3 linked regions of the Callithrix jacchus genome follow. The protein of the gene in region 1 interacts with the protein of each later gene in a pairwise test. Links are inferred from orthologs where the notes say so. Each region holds a gene or a part of one and is shown on either strand. Other genes may lie near its edges.

The links.
Region 2: the proteins of LDOC1 (region 1) and MFAP1 interact in binary tests that used the Homo sapiens proteins (3 or more experiments, as listed by UniProt). The two-hybrid records come from large-scale screens. The link is inferred for Callithrix jacchus from reciprocal best matches to the Homo sapiens genes LDOC1 and MFAP1.
Region 3: the proteins of LDOC1 (region 1) and AP1M1 interact in binary tests that used the Homo sapiens proteins (3 or more experiments, as listed by UniProt). The two-hybrid records come from large-scale screens. The link is inferred for Callithrix jacchus from reciprocal best matches to the Homo sapiens genes LDOC1 and AP1M1.

Annotation. Positions count from the first base shown.
Region 1 is NC_133524.1:138,057,562-138,061,026, reverse strand, and holds LDOC1 (protein LDOC1), read right to left. Parts: upstream 1,913-3,465; 5' UTR 1,783-1,912; coding exon 1,345-1,782; 3' UTR 508-1,344; downstream 1-507. UniProt on the Homo sapiens protein: May have an important role in the development and/or progression of some cancers.
Region 2 is NC_133509.1:31,484,466-31,488,742, forward strand, and holds the start of MFAP1 (microfibrillar-associated protein 1), read right to left. Parts: upstream 2,825-4,277; 5' UTR 2,689-2,824; coding exon 2,610-2,688; intron 1-2,609. UniProt on the Homo sapiens protein: Involved in pre-mRNA splicing as a component of the spliceosome.
Region 3 is NC_133523.1:14,819,166-14,823,470, reverse strand, and holds the start of AP1M1 (AP-1 complex subunit mu-1), read right to left. Parts: upstream 2,825-4,305; 5' UTR 2,724-2,824; coding exon 2,682-2,723; intron 1-2,681. UniProt on the Homo sapiens protein: Subunit of clathrin-associated adaptor protein complex 1 that plays a role in protein sorting in the trans-Golgi network (TGN) and endosomes.

The sequences.
Region 1 (3,465 bases):
GGGTACACGTGCCCAGGATCCAGGATTTAATGTTAGCTGGAGCATCTGAGAGTGACATAAAAGCAATATACTATGTTGGCTATTTGGAGCCTGAACTCAGCAGCTACACATAGGCAATAAGGATTAAGGGGCAGAACTTCCCTGGTACAGTGTTAAGGAATCTGAAAGCTCAGATAATTGGGAGCATTACATCTCTCTCTCTCTCTCTCCCCCCTCTTCCAGGTTTATGACTGTTGTTATGGTCTAATTATTAATACTGCCTCTTTGCCATCTGCTCAGCCAAGCCTTACCCATGCCATTCTGGAGGAACCAGAGGACATACCCTTTGCCAGGGCTTTATGAAATACATTGGTGAAGGGAACATCAGAACACTGACAGAGCCCTGAGGTAGCTGTCGCCAACAGCCTGGAGATGACAGCGGGGAACCCTGATTTCCATGGGAATAATGGTAGACAGAGTGACAGTGTTGGAGGCCAGTGACAGCACTTAACCATTAAAAGACAATCATTTCTTTTTTTTGTAGTGCTTGATATTTATTGAAAATAATGCCAATGCTTTTTCCAGGTAGTATTGAGGAGCTGGGCTGAGTGCTTGCTTTGTTCTTAGTATTATTTGTCCAAATGCACACATCTGGGGGACTGCTGCAATTTTGAAAGTAAAGTGACAGCTGTGTAAAACCAATGCATAGGAAAAAAGAAATGTCAACAATTTGGCTGCCAGGCACACCAAGCCCCTGCAGCAATCTGGTGGGGCATGGGAGGACCCTCAGAGTGGGTAGAAAACTAACCAGGCTGAATGATTGGCCCCTTCATGGGTTGGTGAGCTGTCCGAATCAATGTCCGAAGAGGTATAGCCAACTCTGGCATCTTCCAGGTTGGTCCTTACTTCGAAAGGCGGTAGTATGTAGGTGGGATGTGGTGAGTGGATGTGAAGTGGCAGCATAGTTCTCTGGGCAGATGTAAGCCTGGCAGTAGGGTAGGTGGCAGCAGCAGGGCTATGGGTGGTATGACCAATTTATAATGGGGGCATGGCCAATAACTGGGGCTCAGGACACAGTTCGGATTAGCAGGGGAGGGATTCAGGGGCTGGCCAGGGTAGATGACACTTCCAAGCATTTCCGAGTGAGTGAGGCTTCAGCCCCAACCCCAGCAGCAGGTAAATGGAGCACTATTCCTGGAACAAAGACAAGCACTACGGAGAAACGAAGAGAGAGAACTGAAGGGCGCGAGTAGGGAAGGGGACCAGAGGGCAAGGCGGAGAACAGTGGCTCCCGGCGGGGTGAGGGCTGGAGAGAGGGGGTGGCGGCGTGCAGGGCCCTCCCCGCTAGGCCTGAGGGTCTAAGGCCTAGTAATCATCCTCTTCGTCGTCGTCGTCGTCTTCATCGTCATCCCAGCCAAAGCACTGTTTCATCTCATCGAGGAAGGCCCGGTAATCACCTAGGATGGGGCTATCCATCTCGATGTAGGGCACCACCCACTCCTCGGCTTCCCCGGTGAGGAGGCTGATTAGGAATGCCACCTTCATGGCGTCGTTGCAGAATCGGTTCTCGTTCACGAGCATGTAAGACGCCGTCTGCACGATAAACTCGGGGAGCCGGGAACTCTCGCCATTAAACGTTTCGGGGAAGGGCACCGGGCAGCTTGGCGGACGTACCTGGCGCAGCAGGCTGGCCCTCTCGCACACCAGCAGCCGCAGCTGTTCCATGAGCTGGCTGTTCTCGATGCTCAGGGCGCGGTGCCGCATCAGGAGCGCATGCAGCAGCAGCACCAGCTCATCCACCATGGCGAACGGCTTGGAAGTACAGGGCTCGGCTCGGTGCGGCTCGGTGCGGCTCGGCTCGGACAAGGTGCGTACGGAGGCCTCGCAGGAAGTGCTTGTCCACCAAGGCGCGCGAGGGCCAGGGGCGGGGGGCGGGGGGGCGGTGCGGTGCGCGCCGGAGTCCGGGAGGCTACGCAAGCCCCGCCCACGCGGCCTTTCGGACGGACGGTGCGCCGGCGCGGCGCGGGAGGGGCGTGGCCAGGCGAGGGGCCGCGGAAGCGTGGGGGCGTGGCCGGGATGGGAAGAGTGTAGACACACAGGGCTTGGCTAGGACTAGGATGCGCTGGGTTGCTGAACCACCGGCTTGTCGTAGCCCTCTAGGCGGGCAGTTAAAGGCTGCGGTCGGCTGTCAGAGCTCCTGGATGTGGGGCCTGAATTAGCAGAGGACCTGGCGAGCGCTGAATCCGGTCTCAGAGAAGGTACACTTGTTCAAGCTGAAAAGATTAACCACTCTTCTACCTAGCCAACTCGCACAACTCAGTGTTCCTTCGTGGGTCTGTGGCCACTAAATTCTCTTGGCGCGATGTTTTATTAACACATTTTCTTTCTTGTTTAAATCTCACTTAGCGAAGTATTGACACTGCTGGCTGCACTGTGGAAGTCACACTTCCTTTCAGGGTCATGAAGACCCTCAGGGGGTCCTGCCTTTCATGAAAAAGGCAGTATTTAAACAGTGACTTATTTAATTGGGAAATAATATGATATACCTACCTTAAAAAAAAAAAAAACCTAAATAGCAAGATATAAAAAGTTCTGCAAAATCAGCATCCGATAACCAATTGCAGGCATCCCACACATTTTATTCTCTATTTCTTGTTCTGCTACTAGTGCCATTGGCCACTGGGTATTATTCTCTACTTAAAAATGAACTGTGAAGATGTGAGTGTTTATAAATAATTTTCTTTTTCTACTTTAAATGGATCTCTGATCCTAGAGCTATCATGAATTATTGGCTCTGCTTTCAAATATATTGCCAATTCAATCATGTCTTGCCATTTCTACCACTGCCACCCTGATCCCCACCCAGCCTTTCTTTCTCACACACTGCTGCAACTAATCACTTAGCTTTCGCTTTTTTCTACCTATAGTATATTCTCCATAAAGTAGCCACGGGAATCATTTAAAACAAAAATTAGATCCCTTCACTCCCTTGCTCAAAATCATCCAAGTTTCATCTCAGAATAAAGAGCAAAGTTGCAGCCAAGGTCTACAAAGCCCTTCCTTCTATCCTATGCCTCTTCCCATTTTCTGCTATGCTCTAATCACTGTCCTTGCTGATTCTCACACACGTCAAGTAGTTCTGGCTTTGTAGCCTTTGCACCTTCTACCCCTTCTGCCTTGCAAGACTTGTCCCAGTTGGCTGCCTGACTCCTTCACCTACTGCTTTCAAAGAGAACTTTTCTGGCCACCGGACCTATCAGAGAACCCTGTTCTCTGCCACCAATCTCTAACCCTTGACTCTGCTTCATTTATCTACATAACATTTACTGTGCTACTGGCCAACATGTCAAATAGCACTTTGCTCATCATCTGCTTCTATTTTGCAATATATGTGTCAAAGAAACACTGCCTTTGCTACCTGCTGTATCCCTAATGCCTAGAAAAATTCTGGCCCAGAGCCAAGGCTTCATTAATGTTTGGCAAGTA
Region 2 (4,277 bases), on another chromosome or scaffold:
GAGGCAGAGGTTGTAGTGAGCTAAGATCGCAATTCTGCACAGAGTGAGACTCCATGTAAAAAAAAAACAACAAAAAAACTTTGAGAACCTCAGAGCTTTATTTCCCATATATTCATCATTTACACACTTGGTTGTATCAGATTTTTACATTTTTGCCCAATCTAACAGGTGGAACAGGTGTGAAATGGCATCTTGTTATTCTAATTTGCATTCCCCTGATTACTAGTGATGCTGGGCATCTTGTTCATGTGTCTAATACGCTCTCTAGGTTTAGCCACCACACCCAGCTAATTTTTGTATTTTTAGCAGAGATGGGATTTCACCATGTTGGCCAGGCTACTCTTGAACTCCTGACTTCGTGATCCTTCCGCCTCATCCTCCCAAAGTGCTTGGATTACAGCTGCGAGTCACCACACCCAGCCTTTGAGACAGAGTTTTGCTTTTGTTACCCAGGCTGGAGTGCAATGGCGTGATCTCGGCTCACCGTAACCTCCGCCTCCTGGGTTCAGGCAATTCTCCTGCCTCAAACTCCCGAGTAGCTGGGATTACAGGCACACGCGACCATGCCCAGCTAATTTTTTTTGTATTTTTTAGTAGAGACGGGGTTTCACCATGTTGACCAGGATGGTCTCGATCTCTTGACCTTGTGATCCATCCGCCTCGGCCTCTCAAAGTGCTGGGATTACAGGCGTGAGCCACTGCGCCCGGCCTTGTTTTGAAGAGACAGGGTCTCAAGGTGTTGCACAGGCTGGAGTATAACGGCACAATCATAGCTCACTGCAGCTTTGAACTTCCGGGCATTAAGTGATTCTCCTGCTTTGGCTTCCCCAAAGTAGCAGGAACACATCACTACATCCAGCTAATTTTAAATTTTTTTGTAGAAATGAGAGTCTTGCTATGTTGCCCAAGCTGGTCTTGAACTCCTGGCCTCTAGTGATCCTCCTGCCTCAGCTTGCTGAAGTGAGGGATTACAGGTGTGAGCCAATGTGCTCCACAAATTCTTATATTCTTTTTTGTTTTTGTTTTTTGAAACAGTCTTGCTCTGTTGCCAGGCTGGAGTGCAGTGGTGCGATCTCAGCTCACTGCAACCTCTGCCTCCCGGGTTCAAGGGAGTTTCACCATGTTAGCAGGATGGTTTTGATCTCTTGTCCTCATGATTCGTCCACCCTGGCCTCCCAAAGTGCTGGGATTACAGGCATGAGCCACCACGCCCGGCCAAATTCTTACATTTTTACAACTCACTTTGGAGAGGTATTAAAGCTGAATTGGCTAAAGAACAACAACTGCAGAACTTGAACTTGTAGCTGGATTACAGGTGCCTGCCACCACGCCTTGCTAATTTTTTGTATTTTAGTAGAGATGGGGTTTCGCCACGTTGGCTAGGCTGGTCTGGAACTCCTAGCCTCAGGTGATCCGCCACCTCAGAGGTGTGAGCCACAGTGCCCAGCCGCAGCACTTTTTTAACAGGGGGAAAAAAACAGCAATGGGACAACTACCTGCCCCTCAGGAGGGAATAAACTGTGGGTTACAGTTTATTTAATTAATTAATTTATTTTTTTTGAGACCGAGTCTCGCTTTGTTGCCAGGCTGGAGTGAAGTGGCGCGATCACGGCTCACTGCAACCTCCGCCTCCCAGGTCCAAGCAATTCTCCTGCCTCAGCGTCCCAAGTAGCTGGGACTGTACAGGTGCACACCACCATGCCCAGCTAATTTCTGTATTTTTAGTAGAGTCGGGGTTTCACCATGTCGGCCAGGATAATCTCCATTTCTTGACCTTGGGATCCACCTGCCTTGGCCTCCCAAAGTGCTGGGATTACAGGCGTGAGCCACCGCCTCTGGCTGGTTACAGTGTACACAATGGAATTCATAAGCAGTTCAGATGAATAAATATCTATAGGGATTCAAAGATAATTCCCAAAATCCATGTTGAGGCTAGACACGGTGGTGTCTACCTGGGAGGCTGAGGCAGGAGGACAGCCGGAGTCCAGGACGTCGAGTCCAATCTGGGCAGCATAAGCAGTCTTCTATGGACAGCAAAAGAGGGACTATATCCCGCACAATGCCCAGCAAATAGGCATTCTCTCTGTCTATGTATCTACCTACCTACATATCTATCTAGTCTGATATTATATATTTATATTCTGATATATACTTAAGTCCCTAATTATTAGATTAATATATATATACTTAAGTTCCTAAGTAGACTAATACATATATTCTAGTAATATGTAGTGATATTATATTCTAATATTAGACTAATACATATATTCCAGGATATTAGACATCTATATTCTGATATATAGTTAAATTCCTAAGTAACTATTAAGTACTTTTATATATGTAATATATATAATGTACATATTAGTCTAAGGAATTTGTGTAGGCTAAGGGGTGCTTGCTGAATATGAGAGCAGGCCACAGGAAGAAGATCGGATGCGAGTGGGTGGGGGTGGAAAGGTCGAAGAATTTGGGAGCCAAATCTTGAGAGCTGGCGGGATAGAAGTGGTCTGTCTGGGAGAGACAGACCTCTCCAGACCTGGGAGAGATCTGGAGGTTGCTGGGGCCGAAAGAGTAAAATTCGGCTGGGAAGAGGGTTGTCAGCACCGTACCTTTCTCATTGCGAACCGGGACGGCCCCAGCCGTAGACTGAATGGGCGGTTGCTTCATGAGAGCGCTTGGGACCGACATGTTGATGGCAGCGACGGTGATTCCCGAAACTTGACTAATTCCAAACAGTGAACACCAACAACGTCAACGAAGAGAAGCGATCCCTTCCACCTACGTTCACGAACACAGCTGCTCGACTGATAGCGAAACCGCTTACGGCTGGGCTAGATAAACCGGAAATATGTAACGAGAGGATTGTGGGACGGTGGAGGACCTATGAGCGCCCACAGCTAGGAAGTTGCGTCTGTTTCTGCGCCTGCTCTTCGGCTGCCCTCGGGTCCTCTACGTCGCAGAAATTGGAAACCGCCTTTGGCGGGAAATTTTGCTTCTTTTGGGCTTTGCTGGTAGGACCGGCGGACCCTGCGGTGAGGAAGGTTCTAATGAAAGGTTCCACGTGTTAGGTTGGTTAGAAGCCAAGAACAGCATAATTAATAAGAAACTGAGGCGCCAGTGAGTTGCCGTTTGGCTTGTTGAAAGCTCAGAAAAAGTAGAGTTAGATGGAGTAAAAATCTTGGTAATAGTATCTGATTAGGTCAGTTGATGAGGCCAGTGTGAGCTGTGGTGCGGTATTTGGTGTCACACAGGGCAGGTGGTGCTGATTTAATCCAGTGACCAAAAAAAAAAAAAAAAAAAAAAAAATCCCCCAAGGTGCCTGAGACATTGCCTGCCCGAAATCCCAAAACTCCACTTCTAGGCTTTCAGGTTCTTCCACTGGTAGTTGGAAACTACCTATTAAAATATATTCCTGGCTGGAAAGTGTTTGCATTTAAGTTTCTAGGTAATTATTATTTTGAGACAGGGTTTTTTTTTTTTTGAGGCAGAGTTTCGCTGTTACCCAGACTGGAGTTCAATGGCACGATCTCCAGCCTCTGCCTTCTGGGTTCAAGCAATTCTCCTGCCTCAGCCTCCCGAGTAGCTGGGACTACAGGCGCGCACCACCATGCCCAGCTAATTTTTGTATTTTTAGTAGAGACAGGGTTTCACCTTGTTGACCAGGATGGTCTCGATCGCTTGACCTCGTGATCCACCCACCTCGGCCTCCTAAAGTGCTGGGATTATAGACGTGAGCCACCGCGCCCCACCGAGACAGGGTCTTGTTCTGTCACCCAGGCTGGAGTGCAGTGGCGCGATCTCGGCTTACTGCAGTCTCCACCTCTCGGGTTCAAGTAATTCTTGTGTCTCAGCCTTCTGAGTAGCTGGGATTACAAGCACCCGCCACCACGCCCTGCTGATTTTTGTATTTTTAGTAGAGGCGGTTTTACCGAGTTGGCTGGGGTCAAGGGATCCACCCACTCCGGCCTCCCACAACCTGGTAATTTTTGTGTTTTTAGTAGAGGCGAAGTTTCACCATGTTGCTCAGGCTGGTTTTGAACTCCTGACCTCTGATGATCCGCCCGCCTCGGCCTCCCAAAGTGCTGGGATTACAGATGTGAACCACCGCGGCCGGCCTATTTAAGAACTCTTTAAGGACTTGTAGAATAATAACAGAAGCAGCCCCAATTTACCAGCTGGGTTGTGTAAAAAAAGAAAAAAAAGAAAAAAAGGGAAAGGGCATATTTCACAGTAGGAAGGACTTTATCATTGTGGGGGACACAAGGGACAGCAGAAAC
Region 3 (4,305 bases), on another chromosome or scaffold:
GGGAAGCCCACAACTGCCTTGGGGAGCTTCCTGAAGGGCAGGTCTGATCATGCCTCTCTGGGCTACGGTCTCCTCACAGTGGCTGCTCCTTCTTGGAACTGAAGTGGTCCCCATGGGCTCTCTCTCCCAGCTCAGCATTAGTCAGGACTTCTGGCTTGGCAGCCCCAGCGGCTGCCTCTTGTGTCCCTTGCAATGCCTCTTTTCCACCTGACGTGGTCACCGTCCAAACCCCCTCCAGCATCGCCCTGTTCCAGGGGGCCTTTTGTAACCACCTCCGCCGTCCACTGGCTAAAGATAAGGTTGAGCAACTGCAGTACTTAGGACCTTGGTCCTGCCCCTGTGGCTGCCTGGAGGTGACTCCCCTGCTAGACAGAGAGGCCTGGGAAGGCTAACATGGACCAGGAGTGGTGCTGAGCCTGTCTCATGCATCTGCTCAGCAAATCTGCACAGTAAGTCCATAAAAGCCTCTTTTGGCCAGGCGCAGTGGCTCACATCTATAATCCCATCACTTTGGGAGGCCAACGTGGATAGATCACCTGAGGTCAGGAGTTCGAGACCAGCTTGGCCAACATGGAGAAACCCTCTCTCTACTAAAAATACAAAAAATTAGCTGAGTGTGGTGACGGTGCCTGTAATCCCAGCTACTTGGGGGGCTGAGGCAGGAGAATCACTTAAACCTGAGAGGCGAAGGTTGCAGTGAGCTGAGATTGCACCATTGCGCTCCCTGGGCGACAAGACCGAAACTCCGTCCAAAAAAAAAAGCCTCTTTTGACCAGTGAGAAAAGCGAGGCTCAGAGAGAAGAGGCTTGTCCCAGCTGAGCAGCAGAGACGGGTTTTCAGCTCAGCCCTAACACCAACATCCATGGTGCCAATGGATACCCTATGCCTGGCACAGGACGGGGTGCATGCTAGGTGCTCATGAAATGTTTGCTGAAGGCATAAGCAAGCCAAGACAGGCAGCCTGCTGGCACGGCTGGAGAGGCAGTGGCCAGGGCAGAAGCAAGACTCATGCCACCAGGGCTCAGGGAACACCACACCCACCCAGCCTCTGGCGTGCCTCTAAGAAGGCGGGAGAAGGAAGGCCAGCACTGGGTCTCACTAGGTGTTGACTATGGGTGCTTCCAGGGCAGGCACCTACTCAAGGGACTTCAGGAAAGTGCTGGGGTGGTGTGGCAGCCACTTCACCTCTTCACTCCCAGCGGCTTCAGAGCTCACTCTTGCCCACCTCTCACCTAGGACCTGACACCCACGTTTGTTTCTCTCACTGATCAATGTTGGGCTAACATTGTTGGACTGGTTCTTGTTGCTTCCACACACAATAGGCCAAGCAGCCACTTGCCGTGCACCTGGGATGGACTGGGGAGAAGGCAGAGGCCCATTTCAAAAATGCGGGGACAATCCTGCCTTTAAATTTTCTTAGATCCTCTGGGGAAGATGCCCAGGTTCTAGTTTATGTCCAGCTTGCTAGTGTCTCAGGTCCATTTGTCACCTCTGCTCAGGGAAACCCTCTCTCATTCTCTAGCTGAGACTGACTGTCCCTATTACACACTCACCCTGCCCCACCACTGCAATTGACATTTATTTGTGTTTTTGGAGATCGGTAACCATCTCCCCATCAGTCTGTGAATGCCATAAGAATATGGATTGTTGAGCCCTAGCACAGTGACTCATCCCTGTAATCCCAGCACCTTGGAAGGCCGAGACAGATAAATCGCTTGAGGTCAAGAGTTCGAGACCAACCAGCCTCGTCAACATGATGACACCCCATCTCTACTAAAAATATAAAATTTAGCTGGGTGTGGTGGTGGACACCTGTAATCCCAGCTACTCTGAAGGGTGAGGCAGGAGAATTGCTTGAACCCAGAAGGTGGAGGTTGCAGTGAGTGGAGACTGCACCACTGCACTCCAGACTGGACAACTGACACTATCTCAAAAAAAAAAAGAAAAGAAAGAGGGGGGACTGTTTTTTGCTAAACACAAATCAACCCCAGGTAGTACCCTGCCCAGCATTAGTAGTGCTCCCTAGATATCAGCTGAATGAACAAATGATTCTGGATCGGACTCCTAGACTTGCTACTTCTCTGTGACCAGTGTGACCTTGGTCAGGCTGCTTCACCTCTCCGTGCCTCAGTTTCTCCCTCTATAAAATGACACTTGTGATCACCACCCACCTCACCTAACCCTTTTAAGTCAGTATCACAATGAACGTGGAGAAATTTCTACTGAGAGAAAGTGCACGGTAAACAGAAGCTGCAACGCCCTGAGAAGGCGGGACTGGCTTGAGGGAACCCAGTCCCCGCCACGCCTCGCCACCCCTGGCCAAGGGTCGTGCATCCCCTGGACGCCCTGCCTGGCTCCCGGGCCGGCTGCGGCCCCACTTCCGGGTCCTCCACCGAGGCCAGAGCCCCTGGTCCCTGCGCCTGATAGTAGGGGTCGCGGCAGTCGGTTACCTGGCAATGCGGTGGCGGTAGCCCACCGCGTTACCTAGCAACAGAGCGGGGCAGAGGCACTGCAGACCCCCGCCCAATTACCCAGAAAGAAACAGGGTGTGAATCTCCCGCCCTCCTAGCGTCACACCAGGGTGGCTCACAGGCCGGTTACCTAGCAACAGGGTGGATCCCCGCGGGGAGGAGGACCCCGCCGGTTGCCGGGCAACGGGGAGGGTGGGGAGCCCTCAGTACCTTGCCCTTCAGGTCCAGCACGTAGACGGCGCTGGCGGACATGGTGGCTGCAGGAAGCCTCCGCAGCGGCCAAGGGCGGCGGCAGCGACTACCGGGCGTTGAGCGAGGCCGGGCGCGGCCCGCGACAGCTCGCCTCCACTTCCGGTTCGGAGAGCCGCGCGGGGACCGTTATGTCCGGTCCGGGAGTTGTCAGGAATGCGCAGGCGCAAGACGGAGCGTGCGCAGGCGCGGGACGTCAAATGTGACCATGTTTCTTGCTCTTGTCTGAAGAATCCCGGAAGTAAGGCCCTTGGAGGGCGGGGCCAAGTAAATCAGGGTACCTGGTGGCCGCTGCCAGCTGAACAATGGATCCAGAGCAGCTGGAAGCCGCCTCCCGTGGGCCGAGTTAGGCGAGAGAGCCTGGTGATGGAACCGATCTTGGGCCCAGCCCTATAGAGCTCACAGTCTGGTGGGGAAGCCTATGAAACAACTGTACAATCACCAATTATGATAAGCTCAAAAGGGAGGGGTAAGGCCGTGGTTACTTGGAAAGAGGTCAAACTAACTTTCTGAATGGGAGTCAAACCTTATCAGCGGTCACCACCTGTCAGTGTCAACATTTATCAATGAATGGGCGTCCCTGTTTATTGCCTGGAATGTTGTAAAAACCAGCCTCATTGAACCTTGACCCAAACAAGTACCTTGTTTCATTTCTGCAAAGTTAGTAGTCGGTAAAGCAACTGGTGGCTCCTCATGAATCCACTGAATCATATCTAATTTGCTTTTATGAATGATGGGGCTTTGGAGAAATGTCTGCATTCTGTTCCAATTAGCCATCATAGTACCCTGGGGATCCCAACCCTACAATATCGGAGTGATTGACCCAGGAATGCCTGCCTCTTTCATATCTTTTATATTCGCTCCTATCTCCGTTTTGGAGTTTGGAAAGATGATTTTTTGCAACTCGGTAATTATATAGACTTTGCTTAGGATAGAAATGTGAATCCCAGCACTTTGGGAGGCTGAGGCACACGGATCACCTGAGGTCGGGAGTTCAAGACCAGCCTGGCCAACATACTGAAACCCTGTCTCTAATAAAAATACAAAATTAGCTGGGCGTGGTGGCGCATGCCTGTAATCCCAGCTACTTGGGAGGCCGAGGCAGAAGAATCGCTTGAACCCAGGAGGCAGAGGTCAGGGTGAGCCAAGATTGCACCATTGCACTCTAGCCTGGCCAACAAGAGCGAAACTCTATCTCAAAAAAGAAAAAAAAAATGAAAAAGAAAAAAGAAATGTAACCGAAACTCTAGAAAAGCAAAGTAGAATGTTTGAAGACTACTAAGTGACTCCTGGGCTGGAAGGGTTCTTGCACAAGGCACAGAACAAGTGGCCAAGAGGCTTTTTTGTTTGTTTTTGAGACGGAGTCTCTCTCTGCCACCCAGGCTGGAGTGCAAAGGTGCGGTCTCAGCTCACTGCAGCCTCTGCCTCCTGGGTTCAAGCAATTCTCCAGCCTCAGCCTCTCGAGTAGCTGGGATTATAGGCATGTGCCACCACGCCAGGCTAATTTTTGTATTTTTAGTAGAGACAGGGTTTCACCACATTGGCCAGGCTGGTCTCAAACTCCTAACCTCAGGTGATCCACCCA